4 linked regions of the Mus musculus genome follow. The protein of the gene in region 4 purifies or fractionates together with the protein of the main gene of each other region. This does not show direct contact. Links are inferred from orthologs where the notes say so. Each region holds a gene or a part of one and is shown on either strand. Other genes may lie near its edges.

Region 1 (7,909 bases), on a different chromosome or scaffold from region 4:
TAGAAACAGGTTTACCAGTAAGAACAAAATGTGATTGGCTCACAAGTAATTTCTTTTTTTTTTTTTTTTTTTTAATAAGCAAATATTTTTTTTTTTTGACACACTCCATTCTTTTTTTTTTTTATTTTCTTCAAGATTTATTTATTACATGTGAGTAGCTGTCTTCAGACACACCAGAAGAGGGCATCAGATCTCGTTACAGATGGTTGTGAGCCACCATGTGGTTGCTGGGATTTGAACTCTGGACCTTCAGAAGAGCAGTCAGGTGCTCTTACCCACTGAGCCATCTCACCAGCCCCACAAGTAATTTCTTAGTTTTCCCTTCCTCCCAGCACTTTAGCAATAAATCATTCCTATAGCTTCTATAATGCTTAGTGGTGAGAAGTAAAATTAAAAAAAGAATCATACCAACTTCTATCACAATCATATTTATTAAAATAATTGTTTTCAAGTTTGAACTCTCTCACTTTCATCCTGGTTAAATGATATAGCAAATACTATACAGAGATACAAGAAAGTGGTAACAAGAAAACCCACATGGAAGCACATGTGGAAGACGTGGAATTTTCTAGGGTCTTGGAATCTTTAAAATGGTACCTTAGGTGATCTTAAAAAAATATTCAGATTTTCTTTTTGAGCTGTCTCCTTTTGGTTCAGAGTAAATGAACCAAATAATAGCCAGGAGTCTGGCTACTACCAGTTTCAAGAGGTAGCAAATGTGCTTTCTGCTAGTTGGGCCTTGTCAGCTGCCTTAATAAGATTGCTATAGTCCATTCCATCTGCCTTTGGTGATGACCAGAACTCTATGGCCCAGAAAGTGAGGCTTCTTGCAATTACTACTTGAGATCCATGAACCGGATATCCATGATGAGAAGAAAGTTCTTAGGCAATGGGCGGGGGGCTGGAGACAGGACAGTAAACACTTGGTGTTCCACATCCACACTGGTCACAACAATGAATCCAGCCACACTGGTCTCAGAAAGGTTCTCTTCTGTGCCCTCAGCAGTGCTCACACTCAGGAGATGGTGCACCATATCTCTACCAGGGGTGACAGGCACTAACTTGAGCTGGTTGTCTTCCTGAGACATACCCAGAGGTAAACAGGAATCTGGAATGGTGGGTGCTCCAACTTTGTAGATTTTCACATCAGAAAATTTGACGTTGAAGGCATGGGGATAGAAACAGCCTCGAAATCCATAGAAATACTCACGGATACGTTCATCTCTACATTCCCGCCGGAAGTCCTTGGAACGTTCTACCACACCCCCTGATTTTGGAAGCAACACAGTTCGAACAAAATGAGGCAGGTCCCTTTTCAATTCGTTGTACAGTCGCTCTTGATCCAGAACCACAACCACATCCACCTCAAAGGCCGACGCTGCGTGCACCAGGGCTTGGTAACCATAGCCCTTGACCCAGCCACAGGTGTTGATGACACAGCCACTCACAGAAGCCCTTCTGTTCACTTCACACCTTTGGTTGAACACATCTGCTAAGCGAGATGTAATCTGGAAAAGAATCAAAAGAACAAAAATAAACCTATTTTTCTTAGTGATGTATTAATTTTTATTTCATGTGCATTGTTGTTTTCATGTGTGAGGATGTAGGATACCCCTGGAGCTTGAGTTACAGTTAGTCATGAACTACCAGTGGGTGCTGAGACTTGAACTCAGGCCCTCTGGTAGGGGAGCTCTTAACCACTGAGCCATCTCTCCAGCTCCTAAATCCATCTAAGTTCCTCTTTGAGTAATAGGTATCATCCAAAAGCTTTACAGGCTGGAAACCCAACCACAATCCTTGAAATGTGCTTGGCAATTGAGCTACATGCAACCTTAGCACCAAAGTATTTTTAACCTTAGTGCCCCAGTAGTTTTACTTTTCTGAGACAGGGTTTTAGTACAAAGCTCTAGCCTAGCTTCAAACTCCTGAAAGTCCTATCTTAGCTTTCCAAGTCCTAGGATTATAGGGATCAGCTACAATACCCACTGATATATTAACATCAAAATTGATGTTTTTAATGACTGTGGTTTTAACCCCATAACATGGATTTAACTTTATGTTACTTAAGCTTCTTTTTTACAGTGTTTTATTTTTTATTATGTATCTGTATGTCTGCCTGTGCACATGAGTGCAGGTGCACAGAGGCCTAAGGCATCAGATCCTCCTAGCACTGGAGTGACAGGCAACTGGGAATAGCATGACATGGGTGCTAGGAAGTCAACTCTGACCCTTGACAGGAGTAGTACTGTTTTTGATTTTGGTTTTGTTTTGTTTGCAATAGGGTCTTACTATGTCCTGGAATTCACTATGGAGACTGGACTGCCTCTGAATCTGCTAAAATTAAAGGTATATGCCAGACCCCCCCCCTTTTTTTTTTTTTTTTTGGTTTTTCAAGGCAGGATTTCTCCATGTAGCCATGGCTGTCCTAGAACTCTCTCTATAGACCAGGCTGGCCTCGATCTCAGAAATCCACCTGCCTCTGCCTCCCAAGTGCTGGAATTAAAGGTGTGAGCCACCACTGCCCAGCATATGCCAGACTCTTAACTGCTGAGCCATGTCTCCAAGCCCCCTGCTTCCTGTTTTACCTCTTAATAATGAGTTACTACGAATAATGCCACAAGATGCTATGCAGTCTACAGCTGACTTATGTTAAAATGATCTTATGAAATCAGGTGGCAGTAATACCACACCAAAAAATAAAAATAAGAAAGGCAATTATATTCAAAAGGAAAATTTTGCAGTTCTAAGTAACAAAGTTCCCTACTTCCTACCCTGATTGTAACTTTTCCCTCCACCCCCTCTTAAATTCCAGTTCTGACCTTATTGTAAAGCTTGATGTTGGTGCCAGGCGTGGTGGAGCCAAAATGATACACAAGAGGGGCCTGGATGGAGAAACCTTCTTCCACATCTGCTGGACGCTCAATGTACAGGGCCCCCATGGTACCAGGGATGGACACAGAGCCCTGGCCTACATCTAACTCCACGTAAGTAGGACGGCGGCCCAAACGCACTGCGTAGTTGAGTAGCAGTCGACACACAGTGGACTTGCCCACATCAGTAGGACCTACTACCATCACTCGGGGACCTCTCTCTTCTTCCTTTTCTGCCTGCCTCCGCATCTGCTCCAAGGCTGTATGAGTGTTGAGGTAAAGCAACATAGGGGTGTCCTTAGAGACATAAGCCACCTCAGTCCGGCCACTCAACTGCAGAGAACAGCCATGCCAAGTGAAAACAGCCACCTTGGCACCAGCATCAAAAGTGAATTTCTTGTTTCTGGTCAGCTCTGTGCCAAAGATCTCCGCCATGCCAGCCAACAACTCCAACTGAACCGATTGAGAGGCCTCCACCTCAAATCGAAGCTCTGTTTCTCGCTCTAGTTCAAACTTAGTCGTTGGCTTCTTGTCATCATTGGATTCCTCGCTCATCTTTCCAGTAAAGCTGACGTGCCTAGGACCCAAATTAAACATTTGATTAAATCACCACATCAGGCCACTATTCAAAAAAATCTTCCACTGGTTTAGTCCCTTTATCTTTTTCTGCAGTTCTTATTGCTGCCAGACTCACTGTTTACAGCCAGTCTCTCCACAACCAGAAGCTAAAGGTGTTTTGTTTTGTTTTGTTTGTTTCTCTGTGTAGCCCTAGCTGTCCCGGAATGCTCTGTAGACCAGGCTGCCCTGGAACTCAGAAATCCACCTGCCTCTGCCTCCCAAGTGCTGGGATTAAACACGTGCGCCTCCACTATCCAGCAGTAAAGGTATTTTTGTTTGCTCCTGGGCCTCTGGTAGGTGGAATAGTAACACACCTCAACAAAAAGTAAGAGTGAATGACTAGGACATAAAAAGAAAACTACCTACCGATGTAACTAACAGGAGATTTGAATTGCATAGTCTTTCCTCCATCACTCTATTGGAAAACAAAGTAACACATGCCCATTGTCCAGCTCCCTTAGCCAACACGAAACAAGCTCTGAATCGTATGCAAAGAACAGGACACTGGGTGCAGACTCAGAAAACAGTTGCATGTCCAACTCTGGGACTACTAGTAGTTACTTACTATAATCCAACGACTTAATACCTGAACCAACTCCCCAGCTGCTATATGGTGGGCTTTTACACGTCCTCTTGTAACGGTGCTGGGCCGGGAATAACAAGGACCACAGTTGGAAAAACAAAACATTGTAAATTAGAAACTACTGCCGGGCAGTGGTGGCACACGCCTTTTAGTCCTTGCACTTGAAAGGCGGAGGCAGAGGCAGGTGGATTTCTGAGTTCCAGGACAGCCAGGGTTACACATAGAAACCCTGTCTCGAAATAACAACAACAAACAAACAACAAACTACCAAAGAAATTTAAATTACTATTTCTAATTCTGAACCACAATTCTGGGTCTAGTTAGCTCCGACACCAAAATCTGCCGGGGCTTCTCAAAGGTAATTGGGATCCTTAAGCCTTACCTATACGGGCACGGACTCAAAACCAGCTTCACAGAAACCTGGGACCTCTGGAAACCTCCGACCTCAGCAAACCTCGGACCTCAGCAAACCACGAATAACGTTCACCTAAATACTAGCCGGAAAGCAAAGGCGGTTCCGCAATTGCGCAGTAGTAGAAGACGCGATCGCGTGATGCATCTTGGGACCTGTAGTTTGGAGTGAGTGAGCGCGCGTCGCCGCTTGGCCCTCTGGGAAATATAGTTCAAGGATTGTTCGGTGACCCGCGGAGGTGGGCGGGGCAGCGCCGTCACTTTGTGTGGGAAGACGACCGGAGGCGGAGAGGAGAAGTTGCTGGTTCGCCCTCGGGAGGGAGGTGGTTATAGGGTCTCTCCCTATCTGCTGTCCAGGAAAGCTAAGGGCGACCAGAAAGGGAGAGGCATTGCATCACTGTCTAGATCAGAGCTCTGCTCGACTAGACCACAAGCCAAAAAGTGGGGAAGTTAGCCTAAGCCGGAGACCCAGGCAGCTGGAAAGTGGCAGAAACACGCGCACGCGCACGCGAACACACACACATCAGGTCAAGCAGTACCCATTTGAGTCTATGCGGAACTGGCACATAGAAGAAACAAAGTGTAATTCTCCCTCTCTCCCTGCCCCCACCCCCACCTCCTCTGTATGCTCAAGGTGCCAACCTGGCACTCCATGAGATTCTCCTGCCTCTGATCTGACTTCTGGGATTTACAGACTTAAGCCAATAACCAGGCTGATTTTTTTACTTTAGTAAATATAGAATAAAAGTCCTATGATTTCTTTCGTTTATCTTATGAATCAGTCATTATCCAACAACTTCTGCCAGATTCTAAACTGTTTCTCTATGCACATCTGACAGTTATTCAAAATCGTTGACACCACTGCTAACTGGTTCCACGCCTATAATCCACTTCATGAGTATGGCCTTTGGAAACTTATATTATTTTACTGCCTGACAGGCTCCCTTTCCCTGAGACATCTCTTGTCTATAAAATGGGAATAATAACAGTATTCAACCTCCTAAAGTTGTTTTGAAGATTAGATGAGACATATGTGCTAAGCACAATGCCTATAATATAGAAAGTATCTGATGTTAGCCTTAAGTTTTTATTATAGACTGGGGAGACTATAATATCTGTTTATACATTTTTCAAAGTAGTTCCAGGTGTCTGTGTCACTGTACCCAACAAGCCGGGCAGTGGTGGCGCACGCCTTTAATCCCAGCACTTGGAAGGCAGAGGCAGTCGGATTTCTGAGTTCAAGGCCAGCCTGGTCTACAAAGTGAGTTCTAGGACAACCAGGGCTATACAGAGAAACCCTGTCTCGAAAAAAAAACAAAAAAACAAAAAAAAAAAAATACCCAACAAACCCAGGTAGGTATAACATCTCCAATTTCATCTGAGGAGAAAACTAGGCTAATCAGTGACATTTGCTCAAGAACTCAGTTATTAGTAGAGGTAGACTTTTGTTGTTTTTGTTGCTACTACTGCTGCTGCTGTTTTAAGACAGTGTCTTCACTGTTCTGGCTGTCTTGGAACTCACTACATACACCAGACTGGCCTCAAACAGAGATCCACTTGCCTCTGCCCCCAGAGTACTGGATTTAAAAACATTAAAGGTGGATTTAAAGGCTTAAAGGTAGATCTTTTTTTTTTTCTTTTTTTTTTTCTTTTTTTTTTTTTTTTTGATGGTTCATTTCTTTTTTTTTTTTGGTTTTTCGAGACAGGGTTTCTGTGTAGCCCTGGCTGTCCTGGAACTCACTCTGTAGACCAGGCTGACCTTGAACTCAGAAATCCTCCTGTCTCTGCCTCCCAAGTGCTGGGATTAAAGGCGTATGCCACCACGCCTGGCAAGGGTTCATTTCTTTTGCCAACTTAATTGAATCAGTCCTTGGACACCAAGGGTGGTGCAACTTTGGGTGTATCTGTGAAAGGATTTCAGAAAAATGCAACTGAAGAGGAAGATTTGCCTTGAATGTGGACAGCTCCATTTCATGGCCTGAGGTCCTGGACTGAATCAGAAGAGGAAAAGGAAAGGCCACTTAAGGACCTACATTCCAGCCGGGTGGTGGTGGTGGTGCACGCCTTTAATCCCAGCACTTGGGAGGCAGAAGCAGGTGGATTTCTGAGTTCGAGGCCAGCTTAGTCTACAGAGTGAGTTCCAGGATAGCCAGGGCTACACAGAGAAACCCTGTCTCGAAAAACAAAACAAAACAAAACAAAACAAAAAAAGGACCCACATTCCTCTCTGTCTACTTCCTGATCTGGCCAGACGTAAGCAAGTTTTCACCACCATAGCTGCATGCCATTGCCACTGCCATGTCTTCCCCGTGTTGACTGACTCTGTCTCCCGAACCATTCATCAAGATAAAAACCTCCTTTCAGTTGCTTTTTGTCAAACATTTGATTATAGCAACGAGAGAATCATAACTAAAACATTTAAACCAAGAGCTTAGGGGGCCGGATCAGTTTCTAATAATGGGCAAACAATTACACAGTGTTAGCTGTTAGGTGTTGTTCCATGGCTGTATGGGTATATATTCATTTAATCCCAGGTAGAATCCTATGTTGTAGTTATAACTGTAACCTCCATTTTACAGGTTTTCTGGGTTTCTTTTTTAAGATGTATGTGTGTGAGTGTTTTGCCTGTGTGTATATATGTGGACCACGCTCATACTTGGCACCTGCAGAAGTCAGAAGATGATGGAGCACTGGATGTTTGTGAGCAGGCCATGTGGCAATCAAATCCAGGACCTCTGCAAGAGCAACAAGTGCCCTTAACCCATGAGCCAACTCTTCAGCTACTCCACCCAACCCACACTGTTTGTTTGTGATTTGGGGTTGTTTGTTTGTTTCAGTTTTTCAAGAAAGGGTTTCTCTGTGTAGCCCTGGCTTTCCTGGAACTCATTCCATAGACCAGGCTGGCCTTGAACTCAGAGATCCATCTTCTCTGCCTCTGCCTCTTGAATGTTGGACCTAAAGGTGTGAACCACAACTGCCCCACATATTTTTATGTAGAAGAGTGTTTTGTCCACAAGTATGTGTGTGCATTGTGTGCATGCCTGATGCGCTTCTAGATCAGAAGAGGCCTGATTTCCTGGAACTGGAGTTACCAATAACTGTGAGCTGCAATTGCTAAGCCATCTTTCCAACCCTTGTTTGGTTTTTAAAGCAGGTGAATACTTTGTTCATCCTTGCCCACATGATGAATTTGAACTGAGAGATCAGGGGAACTTTCTGGTCTACCTTTCTCTTGCTGGTCTTACCTAGCACTCAGTTTTCAGGCAGGTAGTTGTCACCTCTCACAGTTTTCTTTGGAGATGTGATTTAGTTACGCCATTCATTCACCATGCAGGCATTAGCTTTTCAACGAACTATTCGGCATAGGCTGATCCTTTTTCATTCTTCAGAATTTTAGCTCTAGACTTCCATTAGCAAGCATGTAGCC
Region 2 (6,289 bases), on a different chromosome or scaffold from region 4:
CAAACTCATAGACATGTCCTTGCCTCTGTCCTTGAATAGTAGGAGGATAGGCCTGTACCACTAGGCCTAGCTCAGATATTTTTTATTTTAAACAGTGTGATTGGTAAGAATTTACACTTGCGCGGGGCAGTCTTTAATCCCAGCACTTGGGAGGCAGAGGCAGGTGGATTTCTGAGTTCAGGGCTACCCTGGTCTACAGAGTGAGTTCCAGGGCTATACAGAGAAACCCTGTCTTGGAAAAAAAAAAAAATTTGCACTTGCATTTGTATACTCAAAAGGCATCTTGTTCATTTAGTCTGGGAGGACAGATTGGTAGACAAGGAGACAGATTAGCTTACTTTCTGGGTCAAACATTTGCTTTCTAAATTTTTTTTTTGTTGTTTTTTGTTTGTTTGTTTGTTTGTTTTTTCCGAGACAGGGTTTCTCTGTATAGGCCTGGCTGTCCTGGAACTCACTCTGTAGACCAGGCTGGCCTCGAACTCAGAAATCCGCCTGCCTCTGCCTCCAGAGTGCTGGGATTAAAGGCGTGCACCACCACGCCCGGCTGCTTTTTAATTTTTAAAAATGATTTATTTAATGTGTACAAGTATTTTTCCTGCCTATATCCACACAAATACTCCATGTGTGTACCTAGGACCTTCAAAGGTCATAAGGGGTTAGATACCCAAAGACTGGAGTTGTGAGCCCTGTTTGTGCTGTGAACAAAACTCAGGTACTGGGGCTGGCAAGATGGCTCAGTGGTTAAGAGCACTGACTCTTCCTGAGTTCAAATCACAGCAACCACATGGTGGCTCACAACCACTAGTAATGAGATCTGGCACAGTCTTCTGGTTCGTCTGAAGACAGCTACCGTGTAGTAATAAATCTTTGGCCTGGAGCAAGCAGAGTTGACCAGAGCAAGCAGAGGTCCTAAAAATTCAATTCCAAACAACCACATGAAGGCTCACAACCATCTGTTCAGCTACAGTGTACCCATATACATAAAATGATTTTTAAAAAAAAATCAAAAAAACAAACAAACAAAAACAAAACCCTCAGGTCCTATGCAAGAACACCGAGCCACCTCTCCAGCCCATATTTGTTGATTTGAGACAGGCCCTGCTGGCCTGTAACTTGCCATGTAGACCAGGCTAGCCTTGATCTCAGAAATTCCCCTGCCTTCACCTGAACACTGGGATTAATGGTATAAACCACCACACCAAGTTAATTTTTTTAAAAACTACATATATGTCTGTGTGAGTATGTACACCTGAGTGTAGTTGTGTTTAGAGGGCAGAATAGGGCACCAAATTCCCTGAAGATGGAGTTGCAAACACATAGGAGCTGTCCTCTGTGTTGGGAACTGAACTCAGCCCCTTTGGAAAACCTCAACTGCTGAGCCTCTACAACCCCACAAATGTAGCCCAGGCAGGTCTCACACTCATGATCTTCCTGCCTTTGCCTCTTCCGCATATCTTTCTGGACTGGTTTACACCACCACAAGCAGCTCATGCAACAGTTCTAGTTATAACCTTTACATCACATATCTAAAATGGTTTGTAGTAATCTCAAAGGAACCAATAAGATGGCTCAGCCCTTAAAGATCCTTGATGGCAAGCCTGATAACCTGAGTTCGTTCCCTGAGACCCACAAGGTAAAAAGAGAACAGGCTCTCTCAAATTGTCCTCTGACCTCCTCCTAAGTTCCATGGCACACGCATGCTTACATACATACACAGGTATACTTACAATAAATAAACGCCATATCTTCAAGGCAACCCTTAGTGCAATGAAAAGAGGCAGATTCCTGAATCACAAAGACCAGGTATAATGGCCCAGGCCCAGTTTTGTGACCCTGGTCAAGTCATTTCCCATTCCCTTTTCTCATCTGAATACAGGAATGAGAGCCCCACATTTCAAGGATTGTTGTAAGGACTCAAAATACAAACATTTATTCAACAAATTTATTAGAACTGCAGGAACCTAAGCCCCGCAAGAAACACAAAAGCCAAACAAAAGCAGTCTCCATGCTCAACAAGCACAATTTGGAAACAAAATAAAGAACAACACAGGTAGTAATCGCCTTAAAACAGGAAAAACAAAACCAAAAAACAAACAGAAAGGATGTAGTGTTCAAAACCCTGGAATCGGAACAAACCAGGCAGAGCAGGAGAGCGCAAGCCTCCGTGCAGAGATGAGCTGGGGTGACCATTGAAGAGGGTTCTTGCCACACACAGTCTCCAGCTCACTGCAGGCTGGCCCACTGCAGGGATGTGTAGACCACCTTCCCATCAGGCTGAGGGGAGCAGAGCAGCAGGGTCTTCCTGACACTGGTTCCCAGGCGGCCTGCAGAGACCAGGTCCTGAAGTGGGATGGGGTCCTCAGCAGACCAGCACTGAGCAATGTAGTGAGCATGGAAACGCAGTGGATCACCTGGGGGAAAGAAAGATGCATAGCAGTTCCCCTCCGCAGGGGCTGGGATGAGATCTGACATGGGGGCCTTGGGCTTACTGCACTGTTGTTTCCTTTGTAGTGCTGGGTATAGAAGCCAGGGCCTTCCTTGTGTAGATTAGATAAGTATTCTACTGCCTTTCTATTTATTTATTTACTTACTTACTTACTTTTTTTGTTTGTTTGTATTTCGAGACAGGGTTTCTCAATTCCCAACAGCCCTGGCAGGTTCCTGTGGGTGCAGGAACCCTTAACTGGTCCTCTGCAAGAGCACCCGGTGCTCTTAACCATTGAGCCATCTCTGTAGCACTCTCTTACTTTTGGAGACAGGGTCTACGCTGTCCTTGCTAGTCTTGAATTTGCCCTGTAGTTATACTGACCCAACCCTGGCATTCTCATTCTCCAGCCTCCTGAGTTATGTGTATCATAGGCTACATGGACATTTCAGCTTTCAGCATACACTGAATATTTTGAAACCCATATCCTTGGACCCAACTACTTTTTTGTTTGTTTGGTTTTTGGTTTTTCGAGACAGGGTTTCTCTGTCTAGTGCTGGCTGTCCTGGAACTCACTCTGTAGACCAGGCTGGCCTTGAACTCAGAAATCTGCCTGCCTCTGCCTCCCAAGTGCTGGGATTAAAGGTGTGCGCCACCACACCCGGCTCCAACTACTTTTTTGTTGTTGTTGTTGAGACAGGGTCTCTCTATATAGCTATGAATGTTCTGGAATGTAGACCAGACTGGCCTCAAACCTACAGAGATCTCCCTCCTGTCTATGTTTCCTGAGTGCTAGGAATAAAGGTGTATACCATTACACCTGGAACAGCTAGTCTATGCCTAAGGATCCTCTATCTTCTCTTTTTCCTTTTTTCTTTTTTGGTTTTTCGAGACAGGGTTTCTCTGTGTAGCCCTGGCTGTCCTGGAACTCACTCTGTAGACCAGGCTGGCCTCAAACTCAGAAATCTGCCTGCCTCTGCCTCCCGAGTGCTGGGATTAAAGGCGAGCGCCACCACGCCTGGCTTCTCTTTTTCCTCTTTTGAGACAGAGATTTCATGTGTCCCAGGCTGGTTTTGATGACCCAAGATGGCTTCACAATGGCTAAGAAACAGAATAGAAAGCACAGAATGGTTCCTTCCATGGTACAAGACATATCTATCTATGAGACTAAACAATACACAACTACCATGATTAAAAGATGTGGGGAGATGCACTTGTACCCTCAAGCACTGAGGAGACTTGGGCCGTGGGGGCAGAACACGATACTCCTTGAGCTTAGGAGTTTAAGACCAACCTGGGCACCATAAAGAGATTTTACCAAAAAATAAAATAAAATAAAATATGAAAAACAAACAAAAGAAACAAAGCCAAGATTTTTTAAAAAGGCACAAGTACTAGGATGCAGCTCTAATAGACCACTTATGTAGCACAAGCAAGGTCTGATCCCCAGTATTGCAGTCATAAAACAAAAAACGGGATCAGTCTGAGACTCTAATAGGCTAGAAAAAGAAAAGATTTTATACTAGGATAGTGCAAAAATCAAAGCACATCATGGTGGCAAATGCCTTTAATCGCAGCACTGGGGAGGCAGAGGCAGGCAGATCTCTGTGTGTTAAAAATCAACCTGGTCTATAGAGAAAGTTTCAGAACAGCTAGGGCTGTTACACAGAGAAACAACTGTCTTAAAAAAATCAAATACATGATAATGATAAAATAAAAATAGTTAAAAGAATGTCACCCCAAAAGATTCAGATAGTGAACACGGTTAATTTTGTGGGCCTCATTGCACAGACTTGGCTCTGCCAGCAGAGCACAGCAGCCATATGTGTTGTGTAGGCAGAGGCAGGAATAATGACTTTAGTTACTGAACAGCTGACAGTGTATCCCTGGTGAATCTGAACTAGCGTGATAGGAATCTGAGTACGACTATACAAGAGGGTAAATCACAGGAAATGGAAATTTAAAATATAGAACTGGAGAGACGGCCAAACGATTAAGAACTCAAGCCATTCTTCCAGAGGGACCCGAGTGCTAAGTTCCCAACACATACATCAGACGGCTCACAAGTGCCTGTAACTCCAGGTCCAGGAAATCCAATGCCATCTACAAGTCTCCTTAGACATCTACACAGACATGTACATACACAGACATGTACATACACAGACATGTACATACACAGACATGTACATACACAGACATGTACATACACAGACATGTACATACACAAAACATAAAAAGAAAACAGAAATGAAATCCAAATCTTTAAGAGGGGCGGAATGAGAATCTAAACCATGAGACTGCAACCCTCTAAGGGAAACTGTTGCTATGTCCCTGCCTGGCAGCTGGGTTCTTGGCAGAGCCTAGGCAGTAATGAGGCTCTGTGGCTGTTACAGGGTTCCAGCCAGCAGAGAGGGTATATCAAAATGCTTGAGAAACTAAACCTGTAACTGCTTTCCTAGACACTTAGCAGCTTTGAGCCTCAGGCAAAATTTAGAAATAAACTTAGAAGCATTAGAGTGATGAGGCTTTAGACACTATTTCAAAGAAGCAAGGATTCTCTCCATGTCCCATAAACAAGTACTCACTGTTTTAGAAATATTGACATATCAGTGCCGGGCATGAATGCTTATGCATTTTAATCACCTCAGCACTCACACGGTTGAGATCAGCCAGGGCTACATGCACCACCCTGCCAAAGGAAAGAAAAGAGGCAAGAAAAGAACAAATAGTTTAGCTTATGGTTCAACTTATTTAGTGTAGATTAGAGCTGTGTGTGGTGGCTTATATTTGTCATCCTAGCACACAGAAGGCTCAAGCAAGAAGCTCAATGCTTCCAACTGTGTCATGTGGGAAACTGGATACCAACCGGCTTGGGATTCAATAGTGAGACCGTACATTTAAAAAAAAGAGGGACTGGAGAGCCAGCTTGGTGGTTAAGAGCACTGGCTGCTCTTTCAGAAGAATTCAATTCCCAACACCCACATGGCAGTTCACAACTATCTCTAATTCTAGTCCAGGGGATCCAACACCCTTACACAGACATGTAACAGGCAATGCACATAAAAATTAAAAAGAAAGAAAGAAAGTCCTGATATGGTTGCAGATACCATTGATCCCAGCACTTGGAGACAAACAGGTAGATAGATCTCTGTGAGTCTGAAGTCAGCAAAGGTTACATAGTAGACCTTAACTCAAAAACTTCTAAGATTCTCAGGCATGGTGGTACAAGACTTTAATCTGAGCACCTGGGAGACAAGAGGCAGGCTCTTTGAGTTCTAGGCTACTGTGATCTACATAGCAAGTTCTAGGTCAGCCAGAGCTACACAATGAGCCCTGTCTCAAAAATAAATAAACAAACAAGGAAGGTATGAGATTAGGTAATTAACTGATTTCAACTAGTCATTTTAAGCTGCAATGGCTTTGTCTGAAAACAGGAAATATCACCTGTGTTTCATAGATTGGTTTTTAACTCTCACATCCAAGAAATTCTGCTTCAGTTTCCCAAGTAGCTGGGGATACAGGCACACATCAGCATACTCAGACCTAACTGGAACTTCGATGTTCGAGGGTACTTAAATTGCGTGTATGCATCTGCATATCCATATCAAAATATAATCTCCATACATTTTCAACTACCAGTCATTGTTTTCCTCTTTTTTTGTTTTGTTTTGTTTTGTTTTTCGAGACAGGGTTTCTCTGTGTAGCCCTGGCTGTCCTGGAACTCACTTTGTAGACCAGGCTGGCCTCGAACTCAGAAATCTGCCTGCCTCTGCCTCCCAAGTGCTGGGATTTTTTTCCATTTTTAATTATACTTTTCATATAGATGACCCTACTACTTTATTTCCTTTTTTTCCCCCAGACAGT
Region 3 (7,050 bases), on a different chromosome or scaffold from region 4:
AATGGACAAATTTTAACAAAATCTTGTCTCTACTCAGTAGCCCTAAAACAAATGTCAGTCTTTAGATATTGATTTTATTGAGGGAAAGTTTCTCGGAGTCATCAAACAATACAGCTGGACATTATAATAACCCCACTGACAGATGACCTTCCCACCTTTGGCCATTTGTGAGCACACAGAGTTGTTATTCAAAGGCCATTAAGCAGGTCACACTGCAGAAGAGGCCAGTGGTGAGAAACAGCAGTTACTGGCCAGAAAGAAGATGAAGCGAATGATTAGCGGCCCAGAGGACAGCGCATTATTCTGTAAGGGATTAAGGTAAACATATAGCTGCCAGATAACCCTCTCCTGACAGGAGCTCTGTATGCCTTGGCAAGAAGCACCGCACAGCAGTAGGAAAGTGGCTTCCTGCTGGGATAGCAATGGAAAAAGTGACCTCACAGAGGAATTCAGCACAGAAATGCTCTCTGAACAAGAGATGAGACCTCGAGTAAAGCTTTAAGTTGTTTGGTTCTAGGCTTATAAAACTGTAAAGATGGTCCAGTCAACGAATACAGATTACATGAGAACGCTGTTACACGCTTGCTCCTCTGCTGGAATCTTTGAATTCACAAGTGTCTCTGCGCCCATGTTCTCTACAGCAGTCCTAAGGTGTGGAGAGAGTCTTCTAAAGCCATCCAGGCAGGAGAACAAAAGAAATCAGTCAGGAGCTATTGGACCTGGGTGACTTCACGCTGCCCTGAGCCTTCCCAGCAGAGGGCACAACAACCAGGAACTCGGGGGAGAGCAGGCAGAGAGAAATCCCACAGTCTTTTCCTCTCCTTCCAACTGGAAAGAAGGAAGCAAGCTTAAATGGAATACAGCAGCGATTCACGTTGAGCTTAGGCACTGTGTGCTAGTTAACTAATCCTGAATCTCACTGAATAAATCAGGCTTTTGCAAGCAAAAATGAAATGCATATGGATTGAGGGGGGAAAAAAGTCTCTCCTATTCACCCCTTCCCCCAACAGGCTTTTGCTTTTAAATATAGATTTACATTTTAAGCAAAGCCTGACTCAACTCCCATATTTAATGCCGGTAGTGTGTAATTTTAAAGGTCTGTCAGAAAGAGGGGGTGTGGGCACCCTTATTTGTACTTTTATTTATACCACTTCCCACAGATTGAAACAATTCGAGAACTCTTCTCAAGAAAAACCACAAGCTAATTGGAGCCTGCAGTCTGGAGATGCGCTTAGTCTACAGCACCCTCTGCTGTCCATGTGGACTCCAGGCAAAAAGCAAGGCACTGTCCTAAGACCCAAGTCTACATACAGCATGCTTTGGTGTGTTTTTAAAAGAACATGGTTTCCCGTTCTGTTCTTCAGGACTCTTGCTATCTAATGGAAAGGTCTTAGGTAAACTCAGTTACAAAGTTAAACAGGCCACTTCACCGAGTTGTTTCACTGAGATGAGATGCTTCCCTTTCCTCCCTTCAGACTGTCGGGGCATTGCTCACATTAGCAGGCATCTAGCTGGCTCTGGCAGAACAGCTTTAAGCCACAGAGCATTCTGAAATCAACAATCCAAACTGCACAATGAAACTGAGTGCCGGCCTTAGACCTAAAAGGCCATTTTGGTCTTGTTACCTAGCTCTGACTCAGTGATCTCACCTTTTTATGTTGTTTTGTTTTGGTTTTGGTTTTGGTTTTTCAAGACAGGGTTTCTCTGTGTAGCCCTGACTGTCCTGGAACTCACTCTGTAGACCAGGCTGGCCTCGAACTCAGAAATCCACCTGCTTTCTTTCTGCCTTCCGAGTGCTGGGATTAAAGGCGTGCGCCACCACACCCGGCTGTTTCTGACCTTTTTAAGCTACACGTTTCTGTATGAAATGTAGATTGCTTTCTCCAGCACCAAAACGAAAGAATTCCTTACATGCAGTCCAATACGACCCAGTAGGAATTAAGGTTAGAAGTTATACCTTATGACTCTTGGATCTGGAACTGCCACACTGGAGTGGCAGAAACACGTTCTTCAAGCCTTCTGGGGCAGCAAAGGGAATCTGAAGTTGTGAAAGTCTTTCATCAAGAAAAAGTGGGTCTCGGGCATGGTCAAGAAAGCGCAGGTCAAGTACAGACCAAGAAAAGCCTGTTACACTCCGCATACTACTTCCAGCTTTTGTCTGGTTAGGTTTTTTTTGTTGTTGTTTTGTTTTGTTTTTTTGTTTTTTCCCATTCCTTTCACTACTACTTCCTAATGAGCCATGAGATCTGGTGTAGGTGGAAACTGTGACTTACTTCTAATTGAGGAACAAGGCAAAAGAGACGGGAGACCTGTGACATGAGACAGTAGGTCCAACCTGCTGACTCTCTTGGCTTTGAGAAAGCAACCAGTTGTGCTGGGATAGCCCATTTGACAAGGCACAGAATGCGGCCTCTACCAAACCCTGAGAGGCGGAGTGCATCACAGACACAGGAAGCTGCCACAGGCAACAACAGGCTGAGAGAGGAAGCGCATCTCAGTGGCACCTCAGTGAGACAGCAGCCCAGATCATAAAAGTGCTGTTATAAGGCTGGCTACACTGCTACCTTTAGCATGCAATGATGGATGATTACGACAGATTTCAAGATATTTTTTATTTTAAACCGTTTTATTATAAAAGTAATACAAATGACAAATGAAATGTGGAGAAGGACAAAGGCATCCACTTGCTGCCTGCCATCCTACTGAGACCACTATCAGTAATCTGATTGTCACTTTCATAGCCTGGCGTGTCATTCACACCCATGACCACGTTAATGCTCTTGTGTCCGTTTTCTTGCTGTAGCGTTTTCTCCGTACCACTCACTGATACCTGTCTATCGACTACGTGGGATGGCAGAGGCACTGCCAGGCTCCACAACTCTGCACGTATCCTTGGTGTAAACCCGCATGCAACTGTACTGTCTCTGATAAGAAAGTTCTAGGCTAACTATATTTGCAAGCAATATAGTGCTTCCATCGGAGAAGGCTTTATTCTGAAAGGAAGTTTATGGGTTGGGACTAGCTAAGTCAGCCCTGACTACCTCTGAGATAAAAGACGAGCAGCTCGCTGAGGAGCCTCACATCCAATCTTTCAGAACTGAAGTCAGCACCAAGAAGGGCAGATGTCATCTTCTAAGAGAAATATTCTGCAACACAGAGGAAGAAGGTCAGAGTGCAACTAATAGACAGCACATGCAAGACTAAAATTATAAAGATATTTAATGTAACTATCACACTTAGGTGGACAAATGCTGAGCAAGCAAATACCAGACATGTACTAAAATGTTAGGGACAGAACGTTAACTCAGGGTTTTCTCAGTAAGCAACTGACTACAGCCGTTACTGGCCTTTGCATTTCACTCCAGCTACTTAGATGCATGACTGCACAAAATGCTCTGGAAAAATGGGATATTCTTCACAGAACAGGAAAATTAAATTATTTCTTCAAAAAACAGCTAGGAAAAAGCGGCCTTTTCTTATCTGAGGAATAAAAACCAAGCCTTTTTTGCCTTGAATTTCTCACATGGCAAAAGAAGTAGAAGCCTGATCCACACTTGGGGTCAGGCCACGCCTCTCTCTCCCATTACTGTTTCCTGTGAATCACTTCAAAACTGACCTGAGGGTCTGGCAGCATAAATCCATCGGTAAGTTTATAATAGACTATTGTGGAATCTGACTCCACTATGGCCAAAGTAAAAGACATCGGCAGTTCTGGATCGCCTTGCAACTTTCTAGACGCCTTCAAGATTTCCCTTATCCTGAAAATGAAGACAAAGTTTGTTTGAGACTCATGGTTACTCAATTAACAGTAAGACCAAACAGTATAAGTTCTTGAGGGAAAGGTAGGACATGGCATCCAAAATGCTAAGGCCATGTCTGTAGGCTCAAATGGGAACATCTGAAGCTGTCCTCTCACACAGACACCCTAAGAAAGGCCTACATACTGCCTTTTCACTCTCTCCGGGTTAGCTGAGTCTGAAACCTATAAAACAACAACAACTACAACTACAGTGTTCTGTGTATCTAATTGGCTGAGGACCATAGATGTTAATTTTCCTGTTTTCCAACTTGGTTACTTACTGAAACAAAGTGACACTTGGGTCTATTATTTTAAACAGATTAGAGGGCTGTTGTGATGGAAGACACCTGTACTCCCAGCCTGGGAGACTGAGGCAGGAGAGTCACAGGAAATTAGAGAGAAGACTAGTTTACAGAGTTCCTGGTCAGCCAGGGCTTACACAGTGAGACCCTAACTCAAAATATCTGAAAAGTAATGAACTGACTGTAACAAACGCGCCTCTTGCTTTTCCATGGGGTTTATAACCACTGCCTTGACTATGTAACTCCCCATTGGTTACCCACTGGCCCAGCGGTGCTCCTGTTGTTGTAAGGCCTGTTTTTGGTTTGTCTGTCCCAAGTCAATCAGAGGAAGCCACATTAGAGTCTTTTATGTTAACATTCTCAAGACTTCTGATATTCCTTTATTCACACTATTCTCTGGCATCATTTCCTCACTCAAAAGTTAATTCCATTCTCCCCTTATTTGTTTAAATTGTCAAATATTGCTCGTTAAAAATTATTTCTGTATGTGAGTGTTTTGCCTATACATATCTATCTCTCACGTGTGTGCGGCGCCCACAGAAGAGGGTGTTGGAGCCTCTGGAACTGCAGTTACCAGCCAGCTGCCATATAGGTGCCGGGCATAAAACCAGAGGCTTCTGCAAGAGCAACACTGCTCTTAGCCGCTCGCACTGCTTCTTCCTCAGTATACAACATACACAGAGCCTAGTCAATGCCCATAAACCCTGTAATGGACACGCTGAAAGTAAATTTCTCTAAGTATGCTGTACTGGCTAGTTTTGTGTCAACTTGACACAGCTGGAGTTATCACAGACAAAGGAGCTTCAGTTGAGAAAATGCCTCCATAAGATCCAACTGTAAGGCATTTTCTCAATTAGTGATCAAGGGGGAAAGGTCCTTGTGGGTGGGATCATCTCTGGGCTTGTAGTCTTGGTTCTATAAGAGAGCAGGCTGAGCAAGCCAGGGGAAGGAAGCCAGTAAATAACATCCCTCCATGGCCTCTGCATCAGCTCCTGCTTCCTGACCTGCTTGAGTTCCAGTCCTGACTTCTTTCAGTGATGAACAGCAATGTGGAAATGTAAGCTGAATAAACCCTTTCCCCCCCCAACTTGCTTCTTGGTCATGATGTTTGTGCAGGAATAGAAACCCTGACTAAGACATATGCTTAACTGGCAAACTATGGTGAGATCAGGACAGAGACAAAAAAGAAAAGGAAAGGAAGGGAGGGAAGGGAAGGAGGAAGAGGGAGGAAGGAGGAGGAAGGGGGAGGAAGGAGGAGGAAGGGGAGGAAGGGGGGAGGGGGAGGAAGGGGGGAGGGGGAGGAGGAGGAAGGGGGAGGAAGGGGGATGGGGGAGAAAGGGAGGAGGAGAAGGGGGGAGGAGAAGGAAGGGGGAGGAAGGAGGCGGAAGGGGAAGAGGAGGAAAGGGGGAAGGAGGAGGAAGTGGGAAGGGAAGAGGGAAGGGAAGGGGGAAGGGAAGGGGGAAGGGAAGGAAAGAAGGAAGGGAAGAAGGAAGGAAGAAAGAAAAGAGAGAAAGAAGAGAGAGAGAAAGAAGAGAAAGAGAGAAGAGAGAGAGAGAAGAGAGAGAGAGAAGAGAGAAAGAGAGGAGAGAGAAAAGAGAGAGAAGAGAGAAAGGACAGAAAGAAAGATCTTGTTAAGACAACTGTATTCAATTTCTCTTTTTTAAACATTATTATTTTTTAAATTAAAGGTAGGTGAGTATTTGTGCATGTGTACACCTGTATGTGTCTATGTGTGTGTGCTTCTGTATGTCCATGCATGCCTCTGTGTGTTTGTGTGTGTGTTCGTGTGTGTGCTTCTGTGTGTGCACATGTGCACATCTCCTAAGGTGAGGTGGTGACCTGGGCGAGGCACGCACATCTCACACTGCCAGTGAGGATGGAAACGTCCACTGCATTGACTGTTGTCCTTTCAGTCTCGGCTCATACTTGTTTTCGGAATCCTCAACACCAAAACATTCTTAGATTAGAGATTTAACTCCAGAGTTGTAAAAGAGGTTTTGTTCTCAGAGCTAAGGGAAATTACTGCCAACTTAAATGGAAGTTCCCATCTCCGAGCTCCTGTTTATCCCACTTGGTGCAGTGAGTGGGAAAACTACCAGTGTGTCTTCACAGGGATAGAGGACAGAACGGTGCCTAGCTACTGCCTGACCACAGCTGGGCAGTTTTACAAAGTTTCCTCTTCAAAATCATGTCTAGTCTACTATGAACATGTGTTTAATATAGAGCCATCATCTCCGTAGTCAGACTTTATTCTTTGTTCCCTTTAAAGTACACTGTATAAGCTCATAAAAATACTTAAGCCAGCAGGTCATTGCTTAATTATTAAAAAATATGGATAACATCAGATGTTCTGAGGTTCTACTTTAAAAATAACATGACTGGTAAGACACACTGAAGGATAACATTGAATTTTCAATAAATGTGAAATCTTACTTAGAAACGAGAGAACTCTACATCTGAACAAGGGTTTCTTTTCTACTTAGTGAAATTTCACGGAGAAAGTCTCAACTAAAGAAAAGGGTATGTTGATAATAATCATAGCTGTTGATTATCAATAGCAAAATTTGATGCTGCTGGCAGAGTTCTCCTTTTGATAATTCTTCACAGGTGACCTCTGTATGCTGAAAATAGGGCACTGATTTTTAATAACTTAGTATAACCAAAGACAAACTCAACACCATTTGGCTATAACGTCCAGAGCCAGATTATTTAAGCCTTTTCCATAAATCTTAAATATTATTTTTCTCTAATGACCCTAAAACAAAGACAGTGGAATCTTTACAGATTTGCAGTGAGAATAAGAAACTGAGTAAAGTATTACTCTTAACTAAATGCATTGAAATAAAATGCACCATGAATTAAGAATCATATTAATTTTGATTCACAGATCCTTCTGTACTCAATAGCCAAGTAGGATACACTGTGACTCTATCTATAAAAGGCCCTGAC
Region 4 (7,326 bases):
TGTGCACGTGACAGCCTTCTCTCTTGTCTCCTAAGTCCTTACCCCATACCCATGAAGACTTCCTGTCTTCTTGATATCCATGTTCTGCAAGTAAGGAACTGAACCATGGAAGTTAAGTTCTTCACTTGAAGTTAGAATGGGCCTTCAGGGGCTGGCTCCAGGATGACCCAGATACTAAATGGACATGGGCCCATCAGATAGAAGAAGGGATCTGGGAGAGGCATGTACAGGGCCTGGGAGCCTGAGAGGTGTACATTTGCTTCCAGTCCTACCTGCTGCCTCTTCCCTCTGCCTTTCCCCTTTGCTCTCTGGCACCGGCTCTTCGCTTCAACACTCTTCCAGGACTTGACTTTTTAAGGAGTTTCCAGGCAGCAGGAGGCCACCACTCTGGGCCCCACACACTACAGTCTTAGGCTATTTGCCATCTACCTCTTATATTTCCAATTACTTGGGATTTCTCCCTCACAGTCGCATGGCCACTCTTGTTGAAGTATTAGGTCATCTGAGAGATGATGAGGCAGGAGGGCAGTGGCTGTGACATGTGACAGAAGAGTGGAGGGGCAGAGGTGCCAGTGGCTCAGCCCAGACTCAGAAGAGTCAGGTCCAGAGCCATGTGTAGTTTTTAATGCAATGTGTACTGAGACAATGGAGTTGTGTTTTACACTATCCCAGAGGGCCTCACAGTAAGAGAGCAGACGAGTAACTTCCTGGGCACATCTGTGCTTCACACTTCACACACCTCCTCTTCGTCCATCCTCTCCACATGAGGTGGCACATGTTAGGTGAGACTCTGAGTCTGAGAAGTGATGGTCACACAGCAAGTATGACATTGTGTGTAGCAGGGATCTGAGTTCACCGTCTGTCCTGCCCAGGGCACTTGTGTGCTTGCCCTGGATCAGCACAAAGGAGGCGGGTGGCTGAATCTTCAATTAAGTGGCTCTTTCAATTTGTTTTTGCTTTTAGGGTTTTTACTAGGCTTTTTGTTTGTTTGTTTGTTTGTTTGTTTGTTTTGTGTTGTTGTTGGTGGTGGTGGTGGTTTTTTGTTTTTGTTTTGCTATACTTTTACTTTTTTTGTTTTTTGTATGCCAGAGATCTTACCATATAGCTGTCCTAAAACATGCAATCATCCTGCCTTTATCCCTGTAGGTTCGAGAAGAACATACTTGCACCACTGTGGCTAAGTCACATTTTCAAGTCAGGGATTCTGATGTATCTTATAGATCCCTTCTTCTACAGTAAGGTACATCGACACAAGAGGTTCAAATAGCAGATGTCCAGAGGATGGAGAAGTGGCTATTAGCTCTCACTGATCTTGCAGAGGACCCAGGACCAGTTCCCAGCACCCACACAGTGACTCACAACAACCTGCATCAGGGGAGTCCAGCTCCCTCTTTCAGCCTCCAAGAGCACCACGTGCATATGCTGCACATACAACAAACCCACACACATAGTCAGAAAAAAATCAAATGAACAGGTTCAAAGAGCCACAAAACCTCTAGAGTCTATGCTGCAGTTGCTAGCACAAGAAAACTTTCTAGCTCTTTCTGGCTTTTCAACTGTGTGTACTGGTTGCCAGGCCACCATGTTCCTTGATGATAAGAAGCTGTATGTAACAAGATCTCTGTGAGCCAGGAGGACTAGCATTCCCAATTTTGTGGGAGATGAAATGGAAGCAGAAGCTACACAGTGGTGAATGACAAAGTCGGACTAAACCCCAGACATGTGCAATACCAGATTAACCACACCTTTTATACTACAGGTTTCAGAGCAGCCTTGCCGTGTTTCAGTCCTTTAGTGTGGGAGGGGGCACTTTTTGAGACAGGGTTTCTCTGTGTCACCCTGGCTGTCCTGGAACTCACTCTGTAGACCAGGCTGGCCTTGAACTCAGAGATCCGCCTGCCTCTGCTTCCAGAGTGTTGGGATCAAAGGCGTGCGCCACCACCTCCCAGCTATGTTTCAGTCTTTGAAACATAGTCCCAGCTACAGATTCAGCCAGGCCTCGTAGCACAGGCCTATAATACCAGCTACTCAAGAAACTGAAGCAAAAGAATTGGCAAGTTCAAGTCTTGGCTGGATAAATGAGACCCTATCTCAAAAAAGAAAAAAAAAAAAAAAAAAAAAAGAGCAGGGTAAGGCACAGTGGACAGTAGTAGGGCCCTTGCTCTTGCTTGCTGAATGGTAATATATGAATGAGTCAGCGATTCGGTTCCCAGTATACAGGGATGTGTGTTCATCTGTGTATAGGAAAACCAATGTGAACAGCTTGGAATTCCAATAAGCCAAAGTGAAGCAGACAACAGCTTTCTAGGTACAAAGGACAGTTTGCCTGCTGGACAGTGTGTGCACCCTGATATATATCTGGGTATCGAGCACACAGGTGAAATAAGAAGAGGAATGAAATGACTTGTATCTTCAGTTGTATCTTCAGGATGGGCAGAACCACTGGTGTTTGCCACTAAGATCAGCCTTCTGCTGATCTTTGGTTGGTAACATGTTCTTATGTCACAGGGACATATCCCAGCAATCCTGACACGGCCCTGTTGTCCTCACCATAGCCTTTGTACCTTGGCAAATGCTCAACTCTTTGAGGATAGAAATTTAATGTGTTACTACACTCTGAGGATTATTATAGGGAACTATTTTCAAATGTTTGGACATATATGTGTGTGTGGTGGTAATCTTGGGTGTCAGTTGAAGATTGGTCTACACAGCCATTCTTCTCAACTGCTAACTGATGAAGGAAATCCCTAGAGCACTGTGGATGGTACCATCTCTAGGCAGGTGGTTCTGGGCTGTATAAGAAAGCTAACTGATGCCGGGGCATAGTGGCGCACGCCTTTAATCCCAGCACTTGGGAGGCAGAGGCAGGCAGATTTCTGAGTTATAGGCCAGCCTGGTCTACAGAGTGAGTTCCAGGACAACCAGGGCTACACAGAGAAAACCTGTCTCGAAAAAAACCAAAACAAGAAAGAAAGAAAGAAAGAAAGAAAGAAAGAAAGAAAGAAAGAAAGAAAGAAAGAAAGGAAAAGAAAGCAAGCAAGAAAGAAAGCAAGAAAGAAAGCAAGCAAGCTAACTGATTGTGAGCTAGAGAGTGAGCTAGAAGCAAAGTTCCTCCAAGGTCTTTGCTTGTGTTCCTGCCTCTGGGTCCTGTCTGGAGCGCCTGCCCTGGCTTCCCTTCATGGTGCCTGTAAGCTCTAAGGTGAACTAGACCCTTTCCCCACCAGTTGCTTTTGGTCAGAGTGTTTCATCACAACAGATGATTTGCCTTACAAGTTGTTGAACAGTGTATAAGGCAAATCAATTCTTCCCATATCAGTGATGTTCCTGGGTACTGTGAAAAGTATCTATTGAAATTCACTTTCCAGTGCTAAAGAAAGGGTCTTATATCATGACTGGAGTATCTGTCAGAAACAGTGTGATAACCAAGATTAAAAATAAGACAAAATGGACCCCAGTAAAAGGCAGCATTTTTCTCTGCCTTATTTACCAGCATCTCTTGGTTTTAAATAGCATAGATTGTCACACTTTGTTAAAGGGAGGTTAACTTTGTCAAAATAAGCAAATAATGTTAAAGGGTCGATGATGCTTGCTTGTCGCTGGACAGTTAGATGCAGGGGAATGAGGGCGGCAAGCTCGGCCTGCAGTCCACCCTTGAGAAGAACTCGGCATATTGGTGGGCCACCTTGAAGGCTTTCTGGGTTACTTTGTTGTCACGGGGTTGAGACTTGAGTGTGTTATTGACGTTGTTTCTGTTGGCAGGTATCAGCATCGGGTGGAATGGGCCAGGGACTTCCTGCGTAGGCAGGGCCACGATGAGAGCACTGTGCAGAAGATCCTTACAGACTACACAGAGCCACTGGAGCTTCCTTGCAGAGAGGAGAAAGAAGAGACCCCACAGCACGAGCCACTGAGCTCCAAGGCCGACTCCTCCCTGGAAGGCAGAGTGGAAAAGGATGAACTCCCCGTGACCCCTGGAGGTGCTGGACAGTCAGATGACCTACCCGGTCTCGGCACACACTCAGACTGCCTGCAGGAGGGGCCTGGCCATGCCACACTCGCTGCGGCTAGTCCATCTAGCCATAATGGGCATGTGGCAGAGGACCCCGAGGTTCTCCCCCAGGAAACCCTCGTTCCACAGGGTGGCCTTTGGCCTGAAGCCAGCAGCCAGGCCGCAGGAGAGAAAAGGGCTGCTCACGAGTATGTGCTCATAGAGGAAGAGCTGTGTGGTGCCCAGGAGGAGGAGGCGGCGGCGGCATCAGACGAGAAGGTACATAGATCAAAGTGCCCTGCTCCCCACATCTGGGCTTCAGTTACAGTCAGCGACAGTCTGAGAGCATTGCTGTTGGTTGTGGCTTTTAAAAGAGAGCCCACATTCCTTATTGCTCTCATTGCAGTGTTAGGACCCCTCTCCTGTACTCGTCACTGCTGCTAATCTCTCACTAGTGCAGACTTTACCATGACTGGGTGTGGATAGGAAAACTGTACCCCTGGGGTCAGTGCCACCCACAGTCGCAGGCATCTTCTGGGACTCTTGGGCATGTCCCCTGGAGATAAGAAGACTGTCAGTCACATCTCCTGCTGGCCAGTGAGAGGTGTCAGCCCTCCCAGATGTCCTTCACTTGCCCCTGGGCAGGCCTGTTGTCCACACTGGGCCTGTGTGGTGTTTCTGAGGCCAGCGCTGAAGCACAGCCCCAGTTGCACAGCAGTTGTAAGGCCTGTTTCCGCTAAGATTCAACCTTTTTTTTTTTTAAATAAATAAGTTAAAGCAAGACCAGTGGGGGCGGGGGGAAAAAAAAAGCAAGACCAGTAATTCTCTGTACATTGTATGGGAGAGGAAAAAACTCATGATAAGTGCCTGATCTCAGGCATGACTGAAGTTTTGACACCTTAGTTCAGGCACACAGCTTGTAAGTGAAAAACACTAAGTTCAACGGTGGAGTTGTCCCATCTGCAGAGAAAATCCACAAGATGGTGTTAGCAGCAGAAGAACAAGAGCATCCATTCCATGTAGGGTTTCTTAAGTATTTATTTGTTTTATGTATATGAGCACACTGTCACTATCTTATGTCACACCAGAAGAGGGCATCAGACCCCATTACAAATGGTTGTGAGCCACCATATGGTTAATGGTTGTGAGCCACCATGTGGCTGCTGGGAATTGAACTCAGGAACTCTGGAAGAACAATCAGTGCTCTTAACCACTGAGCCATCTCTCCAGCACCCACATAGGTTATTTAAAAAAAAAAAAAAAATTTTAACAGATTTTATCTAACGGCGTGAAAAACCCAGTAGAATAACCTGACAATATTCTGAAACCTTGATGAGAAAAGAAAGTCTCAAGTTGGGTGTGGCAGTACATACCAAATCCCACCACAGCTGAGGCAGCCTGGACTACCCTGGCCTATGTAGCCCATTGAGTTTATCAAGAAAATGCTCATTTGGGAATTAAGTCTCATGATAGGAGTGTCTCAGGTGGCTGATTTATTCGTAGTCTCATTCATTTTCTCTCTCTCTCTCTCTCTCTCTCTCTCTCTCTCTCTCTCTAGTTGCTGAAAAGGAAGAAACTTGTGTGCAGAAGAAATCCATACAGGATCTTTGAGTATCTGCAGCTCAGCCTAGAAGAGGTATGTGTGCATCTTGCTCTCAGCCCTGGGTAAGTCCAACCCTGTGCACTGTGCACCTGACCCCACCTTGCAGACAGTTCTGTATAGAATGCTAAATGGTGTCATCACCTACTAGGATGTTCATCCTCACTCAGCCTGTTTCACCATTTGAGAGTGTGTTGGAGCTCACTAAAATGGTGTTTGAGAGCTCTGGGTTCAAATCCTCATCGAGGAAACAAAAGGAATTTTGAGCATTTAAGAGGTTTATCTGAGCCCTTCTCCCCTCTTCCTCCTCCCCTTCTTCTTTCTCTTTCTCTTCCTCCTTTTCTTCCTCCTCCTCTTGCTCCTCTTCTTCCTCCTCCTCTTCCTTTTCCTTCTTTTCTTCCAAGAGAGGTTCTTATTACTGGGATACCAGGCTAGCCTGAATTTCACAGCCCCTGCCTCAGGTGTGCTTGGATTTGGTGTGTACTACCACAACCAAACTGAGTCCTTTTCTCAGCAAGGTTTCAAAATATTGTCAAGTTTTCTGCTGTTTGTGTTTGTTTGTTTGTTTGTTTGTTTGTTTGTTTGTTTGTTTTGAGGCAGGGTATCTCAGGGTAGCTCTGGCTACCCAAAAACTCACTATATAGACAGCTGGCCACAAATGTACTGAGAGCCTCCTGACAGCATCCTGGGTGCTGGGATTCAAGGTGTGCAGCACCATGCTCAGCTAATTTTTGTCAGCTTTTTTTAAAAAATTATCTTTATTAAGATGTAATTAGCACACCAGTTCATTCATTTGAAGTGTGTAACTCAGGCTGTGTTGAAGGTCATTGGCAGATTACCTGCCTGATATTCACAAAGTTCTGAGTCAATCCCCAGTACTGCGAAACAATAAAAAAGTTAATAGAAAAATACACAGTCCACCTTGTGTGGCCACACGTAGCTGTGAACACTACCGGGAGACTGAAGAAAAGTGATCATTTGAGCCCAGCAATTCAAAGCCAGCTAGAACAGCACAGCCAGACTCTTTCCAGGATACAAAGAAGGAAGCAAGGAAGGAAGGAAGGAAGGAAGGAAGGAAGGAAGGAAGGAAGGAAGGAAAAAACTCAAGTTTTTTTTAAATTGCAGAGCCTACTGTTTTTTCATGTGCTGTGTGACTCTGATCACGCCCTGACTGCAGAGGGAGGGAGTATGTTCCAGGCATTTCCTCTGCAGAATCAGTTAGCATGTTCCACTCACTGCATGACTGCGTTCTAAGTAAACTCTACAAACGTTGTGGGTCTTTCAAAACCCTGTCTCAAAAAAAAACAAAAACAAAAACCAAGGGGACTGGAGAAGTGGCTAAGTGGTTAAGAGCACTGACTGCTCGTCCAGAGGTCCTGAGTTCAATTTCCAGCAACCACATGGTGGCTCACAACCATCTGTAAGGGGATCTGATGCCCTCTTCTGGTGTGTCCAGACAGCTACAGTGTACTCCTATATAATTAATACATACATACATACATACATACATACATACATACATACATAACAAAAACAAAGCAGGGAGAAAATACTTTCCTCATCAACATAGCACATGAGAGGTGGCATCCTTTGGTTTTCTGATGGGTGACCTGCCAGGATATTTCCCTCAGAGGGTTATAGTGAAGACCCCATGAGGTGTGACATGTGTCATGTGCCTCTTGAGGAAGCAGGTAACTACATGCGAATCTCTAACCAAGGATGCTGCCATTCCTGGGTG

The links.
Region 1: the proteins of Tsen2 (region 4) and Clp1 purify together in Homo sapiens (affinity purification with mass spectrometry; 3 studies listed by BioGRID and IntAct, counting the BioPlex papers as one, with this or other methods). This does not show direct contact. The link is inferred for Mus musculus from reciprocal best matches to the Homo sapiens genes TSEN2 and CLP1.
Region 2: the proteins of Tsen2 (region 4) and Tsen34 purify together in Homo sapiens (affinity purification with mass spectrometry; 3 studies listed by BioGRID and IntAct, counting the BioPlex papers as one, with this or other methods). This does not show direct contact. The link is inferred for Mus musculus from reciprocal best matches to the Homo sapiens genes TSEN2 and TSEN34.
Region 3: the proteins of Tsen2 (region 4) and Tsen15 purify together in Homo sapiens (affinity purification with mass spectrometry; 4 studies listed by BioGRID and IntAct, counting the BioPlex papers as one, with this or other methods). This does not show direct contact. The link is inferred for Mus musculus from reciprocal best matches to the Homo sapiens genes TSEN2 and TSEN15.

What each region holds. Positions count from the first base shown.
Region 1 is NC_000068.7:84,722,710-84,730,618, forward strand, and holds Clp1 (polyribonucleotide 5'-hydroxyl-kinase Clp1), read right to left. Parts: upstream 4,579-7,909; 5' UTR 4,454-4,578; intron 3,448-4,453; 5' UTR 3,426-3,447; coding exon 2,820-3,425; intron 1,509-2,819; coding exon 837-1,508; 3' UTR 413-836; downstream 1-412. UniProt on the Homo sapiens protein: Polynucleotide kinase that can phosphorylate the 5'-hydroxyl groups of double-stranded RNA (dsRNA), single-stranded RNA (ssRNA), double-stranded DNA (dsDNA) and double-stranded DNA:RNA hybrids. dsRNA is phosphorylated more efficiently than dsDNA, and the RNA component of a DNA:RNA hybrid is phosphorylated more efficiently than the DNA component.
Region 2 is NC_000073.6:3,696,650-3,702,938, reverse strand, and holds the end of Tsen34 (tRNA-splicing endonuclease subunit Sen34), read right to left. Parts: intron 5,115-6,289; exon of another isoform or gene 5,011-5,114; intron 2,412-5,010; coding exon 2,224-2,411; 3' UTR 1,904-2,223; downstream 1-1,903. UniProt on the Homo sapiens protein: Constitutes one of the two catalytic subunit of the tRNA-splicing endonuclease complex, a complex responsible for identification and cleavage of the splice sites in pre-tRNA. It cleaves pre-tRNA at the 5'- and 3'-splice sites to release the intron.
Region 3 is NC_000067.6:152,368,138-152,375,187, forward strand, and holds the end of Tsen15 (tRNA-splicing endonuclease subunit Sen15), read right to left. Parts: intron 3,759-7,050; coding exon 3,617-3,758; intron 3,147-3,616; coding exon 3,126-3,146; 3' UTR 2,598-3,125; downstream 1-2,597. UniProt on the Homo sapiens protein: Non-catalytic subunit of the tRNA-splicing endonuclease complex, a complex responsible for identification and cleavage of the splice sites in pre-tRNA. It cleaves pre-tRNA at the 5' and 3' splice sites to release the intron.
Region 4 is NC_000072.6:115,555,834-115,563,159, forward strand, and holds part of Tsen2 (tRNA-splicing endonuclease subunit Sen2), read left to right. Parts: intron 1-3,759; coding exon 3,760-4,267; intron 4,268-5,546; coding exon 5,547-5,624; intron 5,625-7,326.